Linked DNA regions of Oreochromis niloticus. The protein of the gene in region 1 purifies or fractionates together with the protein of each later gene. This does not show direct contact. Links are inferred from orthologs where the notes say so. Each region holds a gene or a part of one and is shown in the gene's direction. Other genes may lie near its edges.

Region 1 (9,241 bases):
TTTGTTATTTTGGCCTTTGTTCACCCCGGAGCTTCATTTTCAGTGTAGAAAAATAAACCACCGTTCACTAAGAAATTGGTTTTTCTGTGTATGGTTTTGGGACCCAGGGCGGGGTCACTTCCTTTTTTAACTCTTATGTTACATTCCTGTACCCCTAGACTGGGGCGTAACATAAAGTGGGGGCTCATCCGCTCTTTTCTTTTGCCGTTCTTTTTGCTCATTGTGTTTTGTAGGTTGTCTACAGTTTTTGGTTGGCAGTTTTCTTGTAGTGTTGGGGGTAAACTAGCCACAATTACTTTTGACGTGGATGATTTTGTGCAACGACCCACCATGGATAAGTTGGATCGATGCACAAAGTCAGATTTGTTGTTGGTGACAAATTTGTTTAATGTTAGTATACCTTTGAATGCTAAAAAGGCAGAAATTAAGCAGTGTCTGACAGCATAGCTGTTGGATAAAGGGGTAATTGCAAAGTCGAAACCTCGGCTGGTTGATGCGACTGGAGGTTTGGTGGTGGATGTGGGAGCAGAAGCTGCTGCAACCATCCCACAAGCTCCTTTTTTAACTCTTATGTTACGTTCCTGTACCCCTAGACTGGGGCGTAACAGAAGACGCTGGTGGAGCTAATCTGTCCTGACATGGTCGGTCAGATCACAGACCACAGACTGTCTCACAGGTCCGACCAAGGATTTGCAACGACAACGCTCTTCATAAGTGTTCACACATGTTGCACTGCTGGATACAATAGTGCTGCTCTTGCAGTACGTTTTTGTTGTTATACCCATCAGGGCTTGATCACAACAGCATTCATATATATCGTGTAGAAAAAGATATTTTGTTGTCTTACTATACTGTAACAAATGGCAACATTGCATACATTGCTAATTTACATGTTAGCACTTCCACAATATAAAATCACTCTTTTCTGCCTGATGTTGCCACGCTGACACAGGCGCATTCTTACATGCATTATATGAAGCATGTTGTTCTAGACGTCACCTTGGACTGTCGGAACAATAACACAATGAACAATATGAACATTGATGATATCAAAGTTTTCTGGAGAACAAACAATAATGAACACATATGTGAGTTGCTGCTTGTTGTTTGTTCTGAGTGCAGACTAATACAGAAAGATTTTCAGAGGCTGCAGATTCTTACAGGTCAAGTTAAAACTTTATTTTAATAATGGAGACGTTTCATGTCCAGATCTCTGCAGATGATAACACTTGAGGCTGCTGCTAATTGTAAATTAGCTTTTGATGACTGCTGAGTGTGTGAGAGAAAAAAAGATTACCATTGTAAATGTATTGATTTCACAATAAAGGTCCTTCCTCAAATACCCTAGAACGGGTCCAACTATGAACAGTTACATGGTGGTGACAGCATGTCGCTGTACTGACTCGTGTTAAGTAGCTAGAACAGTGGAAACATGAGCGTATCACAAAAATACAGTCAGGGGCGTAACAGGCATGTTTATGGATGGACTTTGATGATCTATGTTAAACAAAGCTGGTGAGTGTCTCTAAAATGAGCGAGGGGCTTTCATAGCCCTGTCCAGTCATAAGGACATCAAAACTTACCCAGAAATATGATTTTAGCTTTGCTCAAACACTGTGGAAGCTGCCATCATGTTTGGAGGTCAAAGGGCACTGCATATCATCTCAATATACCATACTAACAATAAAGGCTTGGCTCTCAACAGAGGCGGTCGCATCTTCCTCCCTCCCTCCCTCCCTCCCTCCCTTTTATTTCCTGCTTGGCTTCTTTTGTCCTTGTCTCGTCTTGTCTAATTCTCAGCGATTCTCTCCGTCTTGTTCTCTAAAATCAAGAAATTATGGATTTGATCAGCTGGTCTCTTAACGCAACTGACATGCTCTTCTCAATGAGAAGCCCGGGCTCGGGTGAGCCTGAATGTCCTGCGGGGACGTTTGCTGCTGGATACACGATGGACGGCTGGGGAAAGTGGTGGGTCTTGTGCCTGGCAACACTGTCGATGGAGGACGTTGAAGACATCTACCTATTTGGAACCATTATAACGGGGTTCTTGCTAATTGGAGCTGGCATGGCCCTGGCTTATCGACGACTAATGAAAGTGGTTACAGTGCTCAAAATCCCATAAGACTGGCCGGCATGACTGATGCAGTGGGTAGAGCAATGAGTACTCAGACTGCGCTTACTGAACGCAACATGGATAAAATCATGGAGAAGCTTGCAACTCTGCAACAGGAAATCGATAGACGTGGGACCAGTGATGGACATTAGATCAACTGCGGAATTAGAATGCAGTTTTTTTCGGCCTAAACCAAACCCAAACAACCCCTATCTTCACACAGCCTCCCCTCGCCAGCTGGAAGCTCCAGGGCCAAAGCTGGAACAACAAATCCTCCCAGATTACAAGACGGTGTATGACTCTCTGCCCTACCCTCCTACTTCCTCAAGGTCACCTGCGTCGGCTGGGGGACTGTTGACTTTTGCTTAAAGCTAGGTGAAAGGGCACTCTCTCTCAAGTTGGATATAGGACACACACGCACACATACACATGTACTCCGACAGATATACAATAACCTCCCCAAACGCCTTCAAACTTCCACCCGATGCAGTCAGGCAGGTCTGTGTACAGGGCCAGGGTCCGGCTGCAGGACCAGATGGCTCTACATCGCCTCTCTCCCAAACCCCATGTGTTTTTTATGTTGTAAGGTGTGAAGAGTCATGTGCTTCATTGTGCTGAAGGTTTTGTTCTGTTCTGCTCTCCTCTCAGTAGCTCAGTCTGGGTGGAGTTCTTTTTTCCCTCCTGTCCCCTCATGTATTGTGTATTTAATTGTTTTTCTTACCATCCTACCTCGCTCCGACCTGTCTTACCCAACGTCATCTTTGTGCATGTATGTATGGTTGGAAGGGGTCCTATTTCACTGCATGTACGTGTAACATTGCTTGTGACAAATAAACGGCTCAATCAATCAATCAGTCAATGCTTGTGGGCTGTCTTTCAGCATATGGGACTGTCATGCTTCATGTAACTCAAGAAAAGATGAATAGAAAAATGTACTGAGACATTCTTAATAAAAAAAATCCAGGATTCCAGGATCAAACATATACATGTATATATTATATTTCCACTCTCTCCGTTGGGCGGTCTTTATCCTTCAGGCCTCTCTACCAGAGGCCTGTTCAGTATCTTTGCTGTTCCTCGGACCGCGCTCTTCTACAGGGGAACAGTAACCATTTGCTCCAGCTGTGGAGAGTCTGCAAGAACTACTGCACTGCAAGTGTAGGCAAGTGGGAGTGGGAGTGTCTTTTTATTTGCTGCGTAAACGAACTAATAATGAAAAAACAAGGAAAACTCCATAAATATGAATAATAATCTGTGTTACTGTTACTGGCACTGATCTGCAATGATGATTTTTATATTATATATATTTGTATTTTTTTCGAATAATTTTTTTGACGCCTTATATTTCATTCGTTTCACTGCTCTAACAAGTCATAGCACTCCAATGCAAAACAAAATTCTTTTAAATGATCAAAGTCCTTTGTATTTTTCTAAGTGGTTTATGAGAATGGATTATGCGACCACCCAATGAAACTATTTGAGTATTTCTGGGTTGTTGCGAGTTTTGACCCACTCTAGATTGACTCTATTCAAACATGAATCACCAACGGTGGGATTCTGGGCTGCCATTTCTTAAACAACAGCATTGTAGTTTTTCAACAAAAAAAAAGGCTCATCTCATCTCATTTAACCAAAAAGTGGTTAAGTTTCGCATCTCTCCACAGATGTGTTCTGATGTTCACCTTTATTCACTTTTTGCAGACATAGATTTTACAAATTTGCTGTTTTTTAGTTTAATCACATTGTGTTTGTTCTTCCGTCCAATCACTGCAGCTTCTGTGCATTTTCAGGGCGTTGACAACTTTTCTTTGCAACTGTAACACAGACACCCAGCTGTGATACTCTGACAACATTTTAAAAGGACTCTGTAAATAGCTGTAAACTATTAATATCTGAGGTCTCCTGTAACCAGCAGCACAGCCTGTTTGGACACCTGCAGTTATTATTAGCACGACGTTGTACAAGCTGGCTGTGAATCTGAATTAGAATGTAAACTGGATTCAGAGAATGATCTACATGTTTGAGCTGTACTTAACACCTCCTGAGAAGAAGTGTTGAATCTGTGTGCGTTAGCCAACAGTTTCTTCATTTTTAGTCAACAAACTGCAGAGTTTATTTTGTTATGTTTTGTTGGAAATTAAGAGAGAACACATGGTTTCAGGTTTCAAAGGGGTTTTTGGCAAATTTTAAATCGCTTCTTTAAAAATGTTGATTATGTGTTTAGTGATGTTAGAGGCTGCATGTAAACTGACTACGGTGCAAAGTAGGAGATGGTCTACTAGATTTATAAATAGTTACTGGCCCAGTAAACCTTGAATGTCTCCCACAGTAGTACCAGCAAAGTCTTAAAGCTGTACTGAGCACTTCTTTTTTTCTGTAACACAGAAATATAAAGTTCAGCTATCCTGGGAGAAATTAAATGCACCTCATTAAAAGCCCTACATCAAAGTTGGTTATTAAAAATGTAAGCTACAATATGAACATTTCCACATTTAAAATCAAAGTAATATTAGCTAAAAAATGTTGTGGTTCAGCTCATCTTGACTTGGAGGAGAAGAATCAACCTCTGGGATTTACTTACCTGGATGATTGAGCATACATCAAGACAAATATTAGCTAATATTACTAGCAGCTGTTTCACAAAAATTAGAAACATTACAAAACTAAAAGTAATGTAAAATCCTTTAACAGAAGAAATTACACTTTGGGCAGAGCAGTTAGGTCTACTGTTGAAGCATGTCTAATGATCTGCTAGTTAATCTTAAAAACACACAAACTCAATGAAAAACTTGAAATTGAAGCTAATGGATGTGCTGAAGTGCCGCTGGTTGCTACCGTAGCTGGATGTTGTCATTGCTGTATCATCCACTGTTCTCGAGTCTGCACTCAAGAGCCAGTATAAATGTTGGCACTTTGGCTGCTCTCATGGAGACAGAGGTGACCATACTTGGAGGAAAGGGTGGATTACTGGATATACAGACATCTCATACATGCTACAAATGTTAATAAGGCAATACCCCCCCATCTCCACCCACTCTTCCTCTGTCCCTCTAAATGCCACTCTCACACTTCAGTCCAGATTTAGACTTCAGTCTTTCCCAGACATTCTGTCCCAGCTGTCTCAAGCTTCACGGAGCAATTTGTCTCCCTCTTTCAGTTTGTCCAGTTTCCCGTCCTTCTCACCATGCCTGGAGTCTTTCAACACCTCTTTATCTGACTTGGTAGCAAAGTCTCACAGGTCCTCCAGGTAGACAGTCCGTCAGAGTGCTGCTGTCTGTCATTTTGATGCCCAGGGTTTTGCGGGTCAGTGTGATTCTACAGGTGCAGACATCTTATTGCTGTTGTTTGCAGGCTATGGAATCTCTGGCAGAGGTAAGACACTGTCCTAACACTCCACCTTGCACCTCTGTGTGCTGCTGTTTGTTGTACGTGACTTTGAAAAGTTGCTAAGGAAAAACACTGGAACTACTTTTACATTACCTCAGATTACACATAGATAATGAACTGGACTGGGTTAAAAATACCACTGCAGTCTACAGGAAGGGTCAGAGTTGTCACCTGAGGTCTTTTAACATCTGTCAGACAATACTCAGGATTTTCTATGAGTCTGTTGTGGCCAGTGCCATCCTCTATGCTGCTGCATGCTGGGGCAGCAGGTTGAGGGCCGCAGATGCCGACAGACTCAATAAACTGATCACAAAGCCAGTAATGTTGTGGGGATGGAGCTGGACTCCCTTAAGGTGGTGTCTGAGAGGCAGATGTTAAGGATAAGGTGATAAGGACAATGCTGGACAACACCTCCCACCCACTCCATGATGTGCTGGCCAGTCACAGGAGCGCCTTCACTGACATACTGAGATTACCCATAATGCACCACTGAACGACACAGGAAATCATTCCTGCCTGTGACTGTCTCTCTGCACAACTCCTCCATCTAATGGACAGTACACTGTACAATAGTTATACCCACATCCTTTACAGTGAAAATAACAAATAACAGAGTTTACAGTTTGAAGTTTGGAGTCAAATGCCAAACATATATATTTAACCTCTGTAGTATTCTGGATATTTGTATAGTCATTTGTATATATTAGAGCTATTTCTTATATTTTTTTTTAACTTTGTAATGTACTGTATTATTTAATTAGTTCAGATTGTTACTGTTCTTACTGTCTTGAAGCAACTGTAACCACACAGTTTCCTTAGGGATTAATAATGTATTCTGATTCTGATAATTACTTTATAAAATAATGCGCAACCTTGTTTACACAATTAAATTCCAGGTGTAATCTGAACAGCAGTAGAAAGTCAGGGACAGACTCTTAACTGAAATAGTGATGACTTGAGGCTTTAGGGTTAATCAATGAATTTATAAATATACACAATATGGTTAAAGCTAATGTTACAGGTACCAGGTTGCAGCACATATATATGTCCTGAAAACGGAAAAGAAATCAGACGGGGAGATGTGGATTGTGTTTGCTGAATTCTCAATAATATTTATTCTGCTGCATACTTGATCCACTGTTTCTGGTTACTTTACAAGTATTGAAACTGCACAGTTGCTATTTTCAAATATTGCTACACAGTGGTAAAATTGCCCTGTTGCCCTGGTCCTTTTTTTGTATTTTAGTATCTTTAATGTCTTACTAAATGTCTCACTGTTTTTGGAATTGGGATTGTAGATGCAGCAGTCCCAGCTACCAGTAAAATCAAGGAAAGAAGGAGCACGAGCAAATCAAAACTTACCAGGGGCCAAAGAAATAACCAGAGTAGATGTAAAAGGTGGTCCAAACATCACATCTCTGTCCAGAAGACTGCAGATACTGTCAGCATCCTCAAACTCTGAAAACACTGTTAGACCCAAGCTTGAAGAACATATAATCTTTTTTTTGTGGAAAACATTATGATGCCCTTATTAAAAAACAAACAATAAAAACCCCTCATATAAATACCCAACATTAAACCAACATTTTTAACAGTAGTGTATATTATATTTCTTATTTGTCGGTGGCTTTACATAAGCAACACCTGCTCTTCTCCACAGGTCCAGACTGACACATTCATTTACATGAACTTCATGAAGAGTCACTCCTGCTACGATGCCATCCCAACCAGCTCCAAACTGGTCATCTTTGACACAACACTGCAGGTCTAATGTTCACAACACATCCTTTTATTTTGCCAGTAAAACAAGCCACAGTTGCAACACATGCTCATTGTTTCAATGACTGGGTGTTTGTTTGGCAGGTGAAGAAGGCTTTCTTTGCTCTGGTGGCTAATGGTGTGAGGGCAGCGCCGCTGTGGGACAGCAAGCTTCAGTGTTTTGTAGGTGAGTCATACATCATCTGTCTGTAGCACTGAGCGTCTTGTGCGTGAGTAATATGAATCTTGATTGAAACTTGAGCTCCCCTCATACAACCTTCGGTGGTTTATTAATTCTTTATAATCCAAGCTGCTCTGCGAATGCTTTCCCAGCTTGCATCTTACATTCTGCCACTGTGTGTTAGATGATGTCTGGGGTACCTGTGCAAAATCTGCAACTTGAGTGCTGTTGGCTGTGGTAGGCTCCCCCCTTTATGAATATGGTGCTTAGGACCTGTTTCCGTGTGCAGGAGGTGGCTGATGGTCACTCCACTCCTAACTCTATATCAATACCTATTATTAGTGATGAGCTGGCTTAAGGGGTTGAAGCCCATGCAGAGCACCAGTAAAATAAATGATTGCTCAGAACATGAGGGAGAGAGAATTCAATTCAATTCAATTTTATTAATATAGCGCCAAATCACAACAAAAGTCGCCTCAAGGCGCTTTATATTGTACAGTAGATAGCACAATAATAAATACAAGTAACTAAAGTCATAAAACCTTGCCATCGGATTGAACAAGGTCTGCATCAGGGAAACCAAGAAATGCTAATAACAAGTGGACGACTGCAACAAGCCATACAAGGACTAAAAACAGGGAACTGATTCAATGGAATTATTTTTCTGTTATACGTTGCATGGGAAAAAACATCAATAAATAATTTCATTTCACAGGCACAGATGCTACTCACCCATTTAAATTGCTCAGGCATACATTCAAGATTCTGCAGGGGTAGAGCTTAGCAGCGCACAAAGAAACCATTGCACACGCTGCTACAGTGTCACACTCCTGCAGGTAGCTGTTTGTGCTCACAGTGAAATCCTGCTGGCTTGAGTCAACTGTCTTTGGACTGGTTTCTTCAGCATAATCCAGTGACAGGTGTCAGGGTTTCCACAGCTACACAGTAAACAATGACTGTTGATAATAATTTGGCAAACTTTATTTAACAAATTGTATTGAGTGGCATTGAATACATGCACCTGTGAAATGAAATAATTTGCTTGGATTATGTTTTCATGATTATGACAGAAAACTAATTTCATAATTGAATGCTACTATGCCAGTTCACCCAGGTGCAGATTATATGCAAAGCATCTAGGAACTATGGATATATAATACATATCTTTAAAAGTGTCCAGTTTCTAGCCACAGAACCAGCCTCCATGATCATTTTATCAGTTGGTGTCACCAGCTCAGATGCTGCTCCTCTAGAAGACCATCACAAGGTACACTGTGTTGGCCACAAATGGGTGATTAAAGCTATCCAGCATTTTAGGATTTAAGGATCAGAGCTTTCCAAGAAAATAGAACCTGCTCACCTGCGTCTTCTATAAAGCCTCTGTACTGGTCTTCCCATTCAGCCCGTTGTTGATGTGGTCACTGTGGTGCCTGTATATCCCTACTACATCTACATCCTATTCCATAAGAGACACAGGTTATGTAGCTTTTCCCTGCTATTATATGTGTGTAAGACCAGAGAGACCATCTCACTGTCTTATATCTAGTCACACAGTCAGTCATCCATGAGATGGTGGATGTGCTTACTGACATTTCCTGTAGCATCAGCATCAGGTGGATGGTATTAAATTCACTTGAAATCAAAGGTCATCCTCACTCTGCAGCCATTACTATCTAGATATGAGTAAGCTTTTGGAAGCATGTAGTAGATCCAAGACTAGTCTTCCAGTACCTTGATTACATGAGAAATGAGGTCAACTGGTCAATAGTTATTAAGCTCTGATGGTGTTGATTTCTTCAGTA
Region 2 (9,830 bases), on another chromosome or scaffold:
ACAGGTACTGCGCTGGAGTGGTTTGTATGATATCTATCTAATAGACTCCAATTTGTACATGAAAATGGAGAGTCCTCTTCACACACTAAGGTCAATTATGGTGTTCCACAGGGTTCGGTGCTAGGACCAATTCTATTTACATTATACATGCTTCCCTTAGGCAGCATCATTAGAAGACATAGCATAAATTTTCACTGCTATGCAGATGATACGCAGCTCTATCTATCCATGAAGCCAGGTAACACACACCAATTAGTTAAACTGCAGGAATGTCTTAAAGACATAAAGACCTGGATGGCCGCTAACTTTCTGCTTCTTAATTCAGATAAAACTGAGGTTATTGTACTCGGCCCTGAAAATCTTAGAAATATGGTATCTAAGCAGATTCTTACTCTGGATGGCATTACCTTGGCCTCCAGTAACACTGTGAGAAACCTTGGAGTCATTTTTGACCAGGACATGTCCTTCAACGCACATATTAAACAAATATGTAAGACTGCTTTCTTCCATTTGCGCAACATCTCTAAAATTAGAAATATTCTGTCTCAGAGTGATGCTGAAAAACTAGTTCATGCATTCATTACTTCCAGGCTGGACTACTGTAATTCATTATTATCAGGATGTCCTAAAAACTCGCTGAAAAGCCTTCAGCTGATCCAAAATGCTGCAGCAAGAGTACTGACAGGGACTAGAAAGAGAGAGCATATTTCTCCTGTTTTGGCTTCCCTTCATTGGCTTCCTGTTAAATCCAGAATTGAATTCAAAATCCTGCTCCTCACATACAAGGTCTTAAATAATCAGGCCCCATCTTATCTTAATGACCTTGTAGTACCATATCACCCTATTAGAGCACTTCGCTCTCGCTCTGCAGGCCTACTTGTTGTTCCTAGAGTATTTAAAAGTAGAATGGGAGGCAGAGCCTTCAGTTTTCAGGCCCCTCTTCTGTGGAACCAGCTTCCAGTTTGGATTCAGGAGACAGACACTATCTCTACTTTCAAGATTAGGCTTAAAACTTTCCTTTTTGTTAAAGCATATAGTTAGGGCTGGATCAGGTGACCCTGAATCCTCCCTTAGTAATGCTGCAATAGACGTAGGCTGCCGGGGATTCCCATGATGCGGATTTTTTTCTTAAGTATTTTTATTCATCTTTTCATGCCTAAAGATGAATAAAAATACTTAAGAAAAAAATCCTGATTGAGATTGTCATAATTCATGCATGACACGGTTAAATAACAATAATTACAATGAAACATGTCATACCTCTATAGTAACATTAAATGACCAGTGGGTGGCAGGGTATGTAGTGACACATCAGCGTCCAGTGTAGTGGTTTATGCGCAAATATACCATCAACACTGACACAAATACAAGAAAACAGCCTTTGAATAGCTGTCCACTATAGTAGCATTAATATCACTTTGACTTTCAGATCAATCCATAGACCTTGAGGGCAAGGTCAGAGGCCAAGTATGACATGTTTTAAATCATTATACAGTACTTTCTATATATTGACAATACACTGCACACTTAGAATCATAGCTTCTAAGTTATAAGGCTTTTTGTCAGTTTTTGACCAATAAATCATTAAATTGACCTTGAAGACCTCGGTGGATGTAAATTTTAATTCATGGGGTGTGACATGATCCCACTCTAAAATTACAGAGTTCTTTTATTCATTTAAAACTTTAATAATATATATAGCCTATTTAATAGTATTCACCTCTACACCCACCAGCTGATCTTGGGTTATTCCTCCCACAAAGCTGATAAATGAATTCTCCACTGTTATTGTTTCTTACCTCGTAAAGACACCCCGCTCCTTGCCCTCTTTCCTCTTCTCTGCCAGAGAGACAAACACGGTCTCCATGCTTTGCATAGTTTCGGTCACTTTCTGGTGGTCTGATCGGATCCCCTGGACCTCCTCTCTAGCTTGGTGGTCGTAGGACAGCCCTCCCTCCTCCACCCCGCTGGAGGTGGACACCGCCTGCAGGGCCGCCCTGTTCTGCAGAACAAGCAGACGAGACCTGGCAAACTCTTTGGGTCCTGCTATGTTTTCCCAGCAGATTGGAGATGATGGAGGGAGCCAGAAGCGCTGTGTGCAGTTGACTGGCTTTTCTGAGGACTCTGTTGTGAAGGGGCTGTCAGCGGGGAAGCTGTGGAGCAGGTGCAGAAGAGACGATCCAGAGCCCCACTCCCAGTCCTCGAAATCCGACTCCCCTGACCCTTGCTCAGGGGGGAAACTAGGAGGAGGACTTGCTGGTCCTCCATCCTCTGCTGGAGAACAGATCCCCAACAGGAGGCAGAAGGACAGGCAGAGCCAAGCCCTGCTCACTGTCCCCTGGAGCATCTCCAAACTGACTGCATTAAAAAGAAAAAGACTTAGACACGCAGGAATCACCAGAGAAAATCCATTCACTATGATTATTATCAAGTATTCTCATACTTAAACTTCATGTACAAGAGAAAACTACTGTGTGAAGGGCAAGAAATTTCTACTGATCAATAGAAACATGAAAAATAACACTGAGACCTCTTGATTGCATGCATTCAGTGACATAACATTCAAAATAAAAGCATGAAGTTTATTAAGTTCAATAGCAAATAAGCTTAAATAAATTTCTTATTAAATTACACCAAAAAATAAATCCTGTACAAAACCAGAGAACATACATTTGTGTTTTTTTCTCCTGCAGTTTAACCGGAAATTTGCCTCAGTTTGGGTAGCGTCATAGTTGGCAACAAATCAAAACTGCAAACGCATCACTGAAGGAAATCCTGAACTCCAGATCACCGCGATGTTTTTTTTTTGTTTTTTTTTTTACGGATGTAATCTGAATTTTCATTTTAAGTTGACTTTTGTTCAGCGGTCTTACCTTACAGAGAGAGCACAGAGCACAGAGCGGTCTCTGTTTGTGCGTAGCGGCGCTCCTCTGGTGCCTGCAGCCGTCGGAAAAAATGAGTCGTTCACTGCAGACTGTTACATGCAATCTGAATCACTTTTACTGGCCCGGTAACAGCAGAATCAGGAGCTTGGATTTTTCCTCAGTGGAAGGGGATGGGATGGGAGATTGTAAAATGCATGTGAGGTGTGGGTTACAGTAAAAACTCCCTGCTGGAGGGAGAGAGCGCCATTCTCTGCATCGTATCCCTGCTTTGATGTGTATTTACTTCTGTGTGAGCTTCATTTTCTATGCTCATTTGTGCTTTACTTCTTTTGTGAAGACTTTTTGATTTGAGTGACAGGGGGAGAAGGATGTGCGATGCTGTATTTATGAGCCATTTACAACATCCTAAACAGCTACAGCAACACGCTCGAATTAAAACACCAAATCTGCTTCTTAAACTAGCTGTTCTGAAACCATCCCTGAGTTACACTTGAACACGATGCTACCCTGAAGTTACTGGAGAGAAAAGAGTTTCAAAAAGTACCCAGACTGTCCATGAGCTCAAAACTCATGCAGAGCATCTGTAGTTATTTAGCGAGTTTTTTGAATGACCAGAGAGTGGATCTACACAGCCTGAGGCTTTCACCCTGACATAAGCTGCAAGGAATGGGACACATTTTGGCACAAACAAGCCAGGGTTTTGCAATTTAAGGGGAATGACGAGCAGTTTTCTGAAAACAAACACTAAATTTGAGGATGAATTGTAAAACATAAAAAGGGTGGGACTTAAAAGCATTACACCACCATGAGGTCCTGTTTATGCCATAAATCACTGGTTTAGCTTAAGTTTGCCTGCTGCCTCGCAAAGTAAAGTTTTTAAAGGTATTCACTGGGTATTTTAGTAAAATGTAAAAATAACATGACAATAATAAGAAGCCGAATAAAGTTAAAATATTAATTCCACTTTGTTTACATGGTTCAGTAACACTTCATTTATTTGATCTGTTTGTAAGAGTTGACTACTTTTATAGTAATTTTGTATCTTTATACTATTGTTGTCACCAAAAAGTGATCTAATGTGACTTTGACCTTATTAAAAAAGTATCTACACACAGAAATATACATTTTTACAAGCTTTTATCGTGGTTTGGATTGTCTGGAAACAAACGGCACATTTGAGAGAAAAACCAACACTATTATTCCCTTGATGGAAAGATTTCACTTTATGAGCATGTGTGCTGGAAAATATTGTGATTTACTTTTAATTTTTCTTTTCAGTGAGAGAGATCAAAGCTTAAATTTTACAATCCCAATTCTGAAAAATTTGGGATGCTGGAAAACATGTCGTCAGATGTTTAAACTGAGAAAGTGCATCTTTTTCAGTCAAACTGAAAAAGGAGTGCTGTTTATAGTATGAACAGTCGGCTCTATAAAGGCCATCTGTGTGGTTCACATGTTTGTATAATTGTGTCCAAATGTTGTAAATACAGTGAAAAGCAAAGTCCAAAACTGACTCTGAAATAAAGAGAAATCTGAGTCACAATACTTTGAAAATTCTGGCAAAAGCCCTGATCACTTGTATGTTTATTTATTTATTTTGGGGGGTTGTTATATCTGAGGCTATTAAATGCCCAGAAGTTTTTCTTTTGCAATTCATACTACACTAAAGTAATAGATAGACAAATATAAAGACATTTCTAAAGGACCAACATTTTTTTAAATGATGATTTATTATTTTATGACTCTCTTGTGGTTGTAATTGCAGGACAGTCTGAGCAGTGAGCTATCAGAACCTTTTCCCGCAGGTTTTTTTAGTTTTCTGTAATGATTTCTTTCATTGACTGCAGCAGCATTCCTTTATCATGTACAATGCTGTACTGAGACTTACCATTATAACTGCACTTCTTATTCTTGTATTAAATGGGATTAAAAGTGCAGTTAAACATCTTTACACAGGCAGAAAACGGCAGGTATGCTTAACAGTTACTTAATTTTGGTACTCGTGGTCCTCCATATTGTAAAATGAGTTTGCCACCCCTGGTCTACATAAAAAACACAACACAGCGGGACTTTGCTGTGTGATACGGAAGCGTAGTACGGAAGCGTAGAGCTACGGAAGCGTAGAGCTGCCACCCAGGCAAAAGAAAAATAGAAGTATATCACGTTATAACGTGAAAAGTTTATTGTTCTAACAAGATACTTTTCATGTTTGTACAATATACTATCATGTTTGTACAATATACTATGTTTGTACAATATACTTTTGACGTTTGAACAACATAATATCACGTTATTACAATATTCATAAATATCACGTTCGTACAATATATTTATATTGTACGAACGTGATAATTATGCATATAATTATTGTTCAAACTTTTGACGTTTGAACAATATAATATCACGTTATTACAATATGCATAATTATCACGTTCGTACAATATAAATATATTGTACGAACGTGATATTTATGTATATTGTAATAACGTGATATTATATTGTTCAAACGTCAAAAGTATATTGTACAAACATGAAAAGTATCTTGTTAGAACAATAAACTTTTCACGTTATAACGTGATATACTTCTATTTTTCTTTTGCCTGGGTGGCAGCTCTACGCTTCCGTAGCTCTACGCTTCCGTAGTGTGAACCTGACAATAGTAAAATATGGTGCGAGCGTGCTCTGACTGCACTGCCCCGGACCTCAGTAATCCCACGGTGACATCTAGCGGCAACAGCTGTGAGTTGCTGCTTTTTCTTATCCCACCGTTTAAACTCTCAAACTTTATCGTCACGTATGGATTTCATTAATGTTGTTGTTATTCTTAGGCTTAAATATGAATAAATCTGTATTTGGGGTATTAAAGGGAACAACGCATTTTAAATCAATGCAGTTTATCAGGAAAAAATTAAAAAATTCCTTCAGTGTGCACCAGCATGAACTCTGCCCATGCCCGGGGCCATATCTTAGAGGGGCGGGGACCACCGCGGAGCTCCTCCCCCTCCAGGCTGCCGTCAGCGGGGCTGCTGCTGCTGCTGGACCGGAGCGAGTCGGCACCAACAACCAGCCTCTGGCTGCTCCTCCGTGCTGAGGGAAAACTCGGTGCAGCCAGGAGCCACCCCGTCATTTATCACGGTCAACGACATGGCCTCCGACGGCATGGACGAGCGATCTCCGCTGCTGTCGGGCCCCAACTCCGAGAATGTGACCCCGACAGCTCCCCCGTACCTGCAGGATTCAAGTCCCCGAGGTAAACACGCCACACGCAGCACCCCGCCGCCTGCATGCTGAATCATTTTCAGGGCGTATCGAGTTTGTGTGAGTGCGTAAATAAAGCTGCAGCAAGGCGAGGCAAGGGCATTGCTGGGAAATCAGTCGGCAGCTGACTGAAAGGTGGAGCTTGCACTGTGAGAACTGGAGCAGTGGGTTATGTAGAAGGGGCCTGCGGTAATACCAGCAGTAGCATCAAACAGTGTTTTCAGTGCAGAGATTTCTACATCACGATTCACTGGGGCCTGCCGTGACTTTGGCTAGCAAAAAAAAAAGAAAAAAAAAAAGGTGTGAGCTGAAGCTCTGCAAAGCCTCAGTAGATTTTAGGTTGAATGTTGACGTGGGAGCACTGAGGCATTGCAGATGGAGGCAGGCGAAGCATCCTTTTGTCCAGCTGCAGATCAACAAAAGCACCCACAGGTGTGCCCTTTACGGGAGAAATAATGCAACACGAGTTAAATGTCGTATTCTCCTGTTTTAATGATGGCAGCTGTGAGTTTTGCTCGTTTGCATGGTGAATGCACTGTAAGCGACGAGCTTGAGCCTTCTTGCATGATTTGCATCTTTCATACAGCAGAAAACATAAACATGTAAGTTACAGCCCACAGTGCTTGTTCTCAGGACTGGCAGCAGCTGTCTGCACTGACCTTTGCTCTGAATATAATCTCCTCAAATTCTCAATTTATTCTTCTCCACAAGAAGAAAGACGAAGCAAAGTGCTTGTGGGAGCTGCAAAAATGCATGATCTCACATAGAGCCCTCCTTGTGTTTTGCTGGCATTAAATATTGATTCAGGCTTTACTTTCACCTCAGATCACATTCTCTTGTCTGAGGATTAGATTTTGAGTGCTACTTTCAGTGGTATTTGACTTTTTTTCCCCTGTTTCCGCTTCTAAGTTTTTGTCAGCGGCCTGACAGAAACAACGTTTCTTTGCTTTGCAGCAGCTCGGGATGGTCGGCAGCAAATGAATGGACTCATTGACCGTGTAAATCAGTTTAAGGAGCATTTCAGGCCAATTTCAAACAAACAGAGGAGAGAAAGAGAGAGAGAAGTGCTTGTTGTTCTCGAGACGTCTAATCCCACAGAATTCATATTTCACCACGGGATTAAACTCTTAATGCTGGACTGTAATAATCTAGGAAGCGAGAGCCTGGCTGGATGCTAACACAGTGACACAGTTTCTCCCTCCACCCTCTCTGCAGACTGGATTATTGGCTAATTCCAGTGTGGGTTTGTAAAATGGATTAATTTGATCCTAAGATGCCAAAACTGTGACATTTCCCGGAAACACAATGACTGTGACGCTGCTTTGACTAATGAGCAGCTGCATTAAGGCACTAAAGTGAGCTGTGGCTTGAATTTAAATTTTTATGATATCCATGTAATACTTGTTGTGTTCACTGAAATGATTCTGTAGTAGCAGGTAGAAATTCAGTGGCTGCTGCTTGTTTTTTTTAATTTTGCCCTAAAATAATCAAAGAAAAACAAACGGTCTGCCTCGTTTAAAATGAAGCTTTACCAGCTTCACATTATCAGGACTAATTAGTCCAAGGTGAAGTCATGAAACATCAGCAAATATGTTAACAGGTTTCTTTATATGAAGAGATCCAGTTACCCTGCTATTACAGTACCGAAATAGAAAGGTCTGATTCTTCTTGTTAGCAACTCATGGTCACTTTATTAGGTACACCTGTTCAACCGGTCATTAATGCAAATATCTAATCAGCCAGTTGCATGGCACTAACTCGGTGCATTGATGCATGTAGACATGAAGACGACTAACTGAGAATCAAACTGGAGAAGAAGGGTGGTTTAAGTGACTCTGAATGTGGCATTGTTGTTGGAGTCAGACGAGCTGGTTTGAGTATTTCAGAAACTGCTCATCTACTGAGATTTTCCCCACACAACCGTCTCTACAATTTACAGAGATTTGTCAGAAAGTGAGAACAAATCCTGATCTGATAGAATGTCAATAGCAACTGAAAAAAGCAATCAACCAAGATATGGAGAAGAGGATCTCTGAATGCAGAACATTTTGAACCTTGAAGCAGATGAGCGACAGCAGCAGAAGATCATCGCAGGTGAGACTCCTGTCAGCTAATAACAGGAAACTGAGACTACAGTTCACACAAGCTCACCAAACATGGACAATAGAAGACTGGAAAAACATTGACTTGTGTGATGAGACTTGATGTTAGATGGTAAGGTTACTGACCACATCCATCGCTTTATGACCGCAGTGTACCCAGCCTCAGATGTTTGCTTCCAGCAGGATAACACACAATGCCATAAACAGGTTTCTTGAACATGACAGTGAGTTCACTGTGCAGGCGACAGATTTGCAGCAACTGTGTGATGCCATCATGTCAATATGGACATTACACCATGGAGAAAGCGCCTTGTTGAAGCCACGAAGAACTAAGGAAGCTCTAAAGGCAAAAAAAAGGGGTCCCATAAAATCCTGGAAAGGTGTACCTAATAAAGTGTCTGGCAAGTGTATATAAATTCAGTTACATTAGTATGAAAAATCTGTTACTTCACTTTCTCATTAAAAAAACACTGTTATCTTGTTTTGTTTTGTTAGTAGTAGAAACTCTCAGTGTCATGTTTATCATGAAAACACAAAGTTAAAAATATTAACTTGCTGATTCCACCATTAAAGAACTGCCTCCAAAGAGAGAGCAGCTACTGTGTGGAAGTGGGTGGGTTACAAGAACATGTGACTTAATGTGACCAATGACGAGTCTTTATCACAGGTCAGTGGAAGAGAAAAAGTAATTCAGTCTAGTTAAAATAAACAGAAATGATATTTGCAGTCATCAGTTATCAGTCACGGATTTGCAAACAGAGCCGGCCGAACTCAATGCCCTGTCTGACTGATCAACACTAATCAGACGAGTGGAGGAGCTTTATTGATATCTGGCTGAACTGTTCATAGGTGCAAGCTGCCCAAGTTATAATTGGCCAAGATGACTGAGGCAAAGAACTGCCCAGCCTGGAAAGACTCCTCCAGGAATAAAGAGATCAGCTGTCGAGACATGCTGTCCTTTAGTAAATGAACACAACAGGAGACACGGTACAATAACATTGATCTTAACATGATAAAAGCGGACTTATCATCTGAATCAGAGCAGCACTTTATTAGAAGAAAACCCAACGATTAGACACAACGTAACCAAAATGTTTAGATTAATAATTTATTGTAATAGTGTAAAACACGGATGTAATTAAGGCACATTGTTTGCAATTTTTATACTGTGTCTTACACACATGCACTAAATGTCTACTAACTTAGCTGCTTTAGGAGATAACTAGATTTTCTTTCAAATTAACCCTCAAATTTGTTGCCAGATTTTAAAGACTTTAGATTAAGTCTAAAATGTTGGCTGTAGTGAGGGATGGCCAGACGGATTGTAGTGTCGGTAAAACTGTAGAATTATTTTATGATTAAAGAGATTATTTTTTTCTGGCCACACAGAAAGGTCTCCAGAGCTGCTGGTGTCTGAATACCAGATGTTCAGCTTGGCATTCTATCCCGCAAACCACAAGTGAAGTCATCGAGTCGATACCCTTAAAGCAGAACTGTATGTTGTGGCGTTGGTGGTGGTTGCAGCAGAGTCTTCTCGTCTTTCTTCTGGCTCCTCGTGAAAACCTATAGCTGCTGTCTTCAGTGT

The links.
Region 2: the proteins of prkag3b (region 1) and pip4p2 purify together in Homo sapiens (affinity purification with mass spectrometry; 3 studies listed by BioGRID and IntAct, with this or other methods). This does not show direct contact. The link is inferred for Oreochromis niloticus from reciprocal best matches to the Homo sapiens genes PRKAG3 and PIP4P2.

The regions. Positions count from the first base shown.
Region 1 is NC_031987.2:36,015,153-36,024,393, reverse strand, and holds the start of prkag3b (5'-AMP-activated protein kinase subunit gamma-3b), read left to right. Parts: upstream 1-5,169; 5' UTR 5,170-5,398; coding exon 5,399-5,485; intron 5,486-7,160; coding exon 7,161-7,265; intron 7,266-7,363; coding exon 7,364-7,445; intron 7,446-9,241. UniProt on the Homo sapiens protein: AMP/ATP-binding subunit of AMP-activated protein kinase (AMPK), an energy sensor protein kinase that plays a key role in regulating cellular energy metabolism.
Region 2 is NC_031985.2:21,130,804-21,140,633, reverse strand, and holds the start of pip4p2 (type 2 phosphatidylinositol 4,5-bisphosphate 4-phosphatase), read left to right. Parts: upstream 1-5,847; 5' UTR 5,848-6,029; coding exon 6,030-6,135; intron 6,136-9,830. Other genes in the region: uncharacterized protein si:ch211-57n23.1, read right to left, coding at 1,800-2,347. UniProt on the Homo sapiens protein: Catalyzes the hydrolysis of phosphatidylinositol-4,5-bisphosphate (PtdIns-4,5-P2) to phosphatidylinositol-4-phosphate (PtdIns-4-P).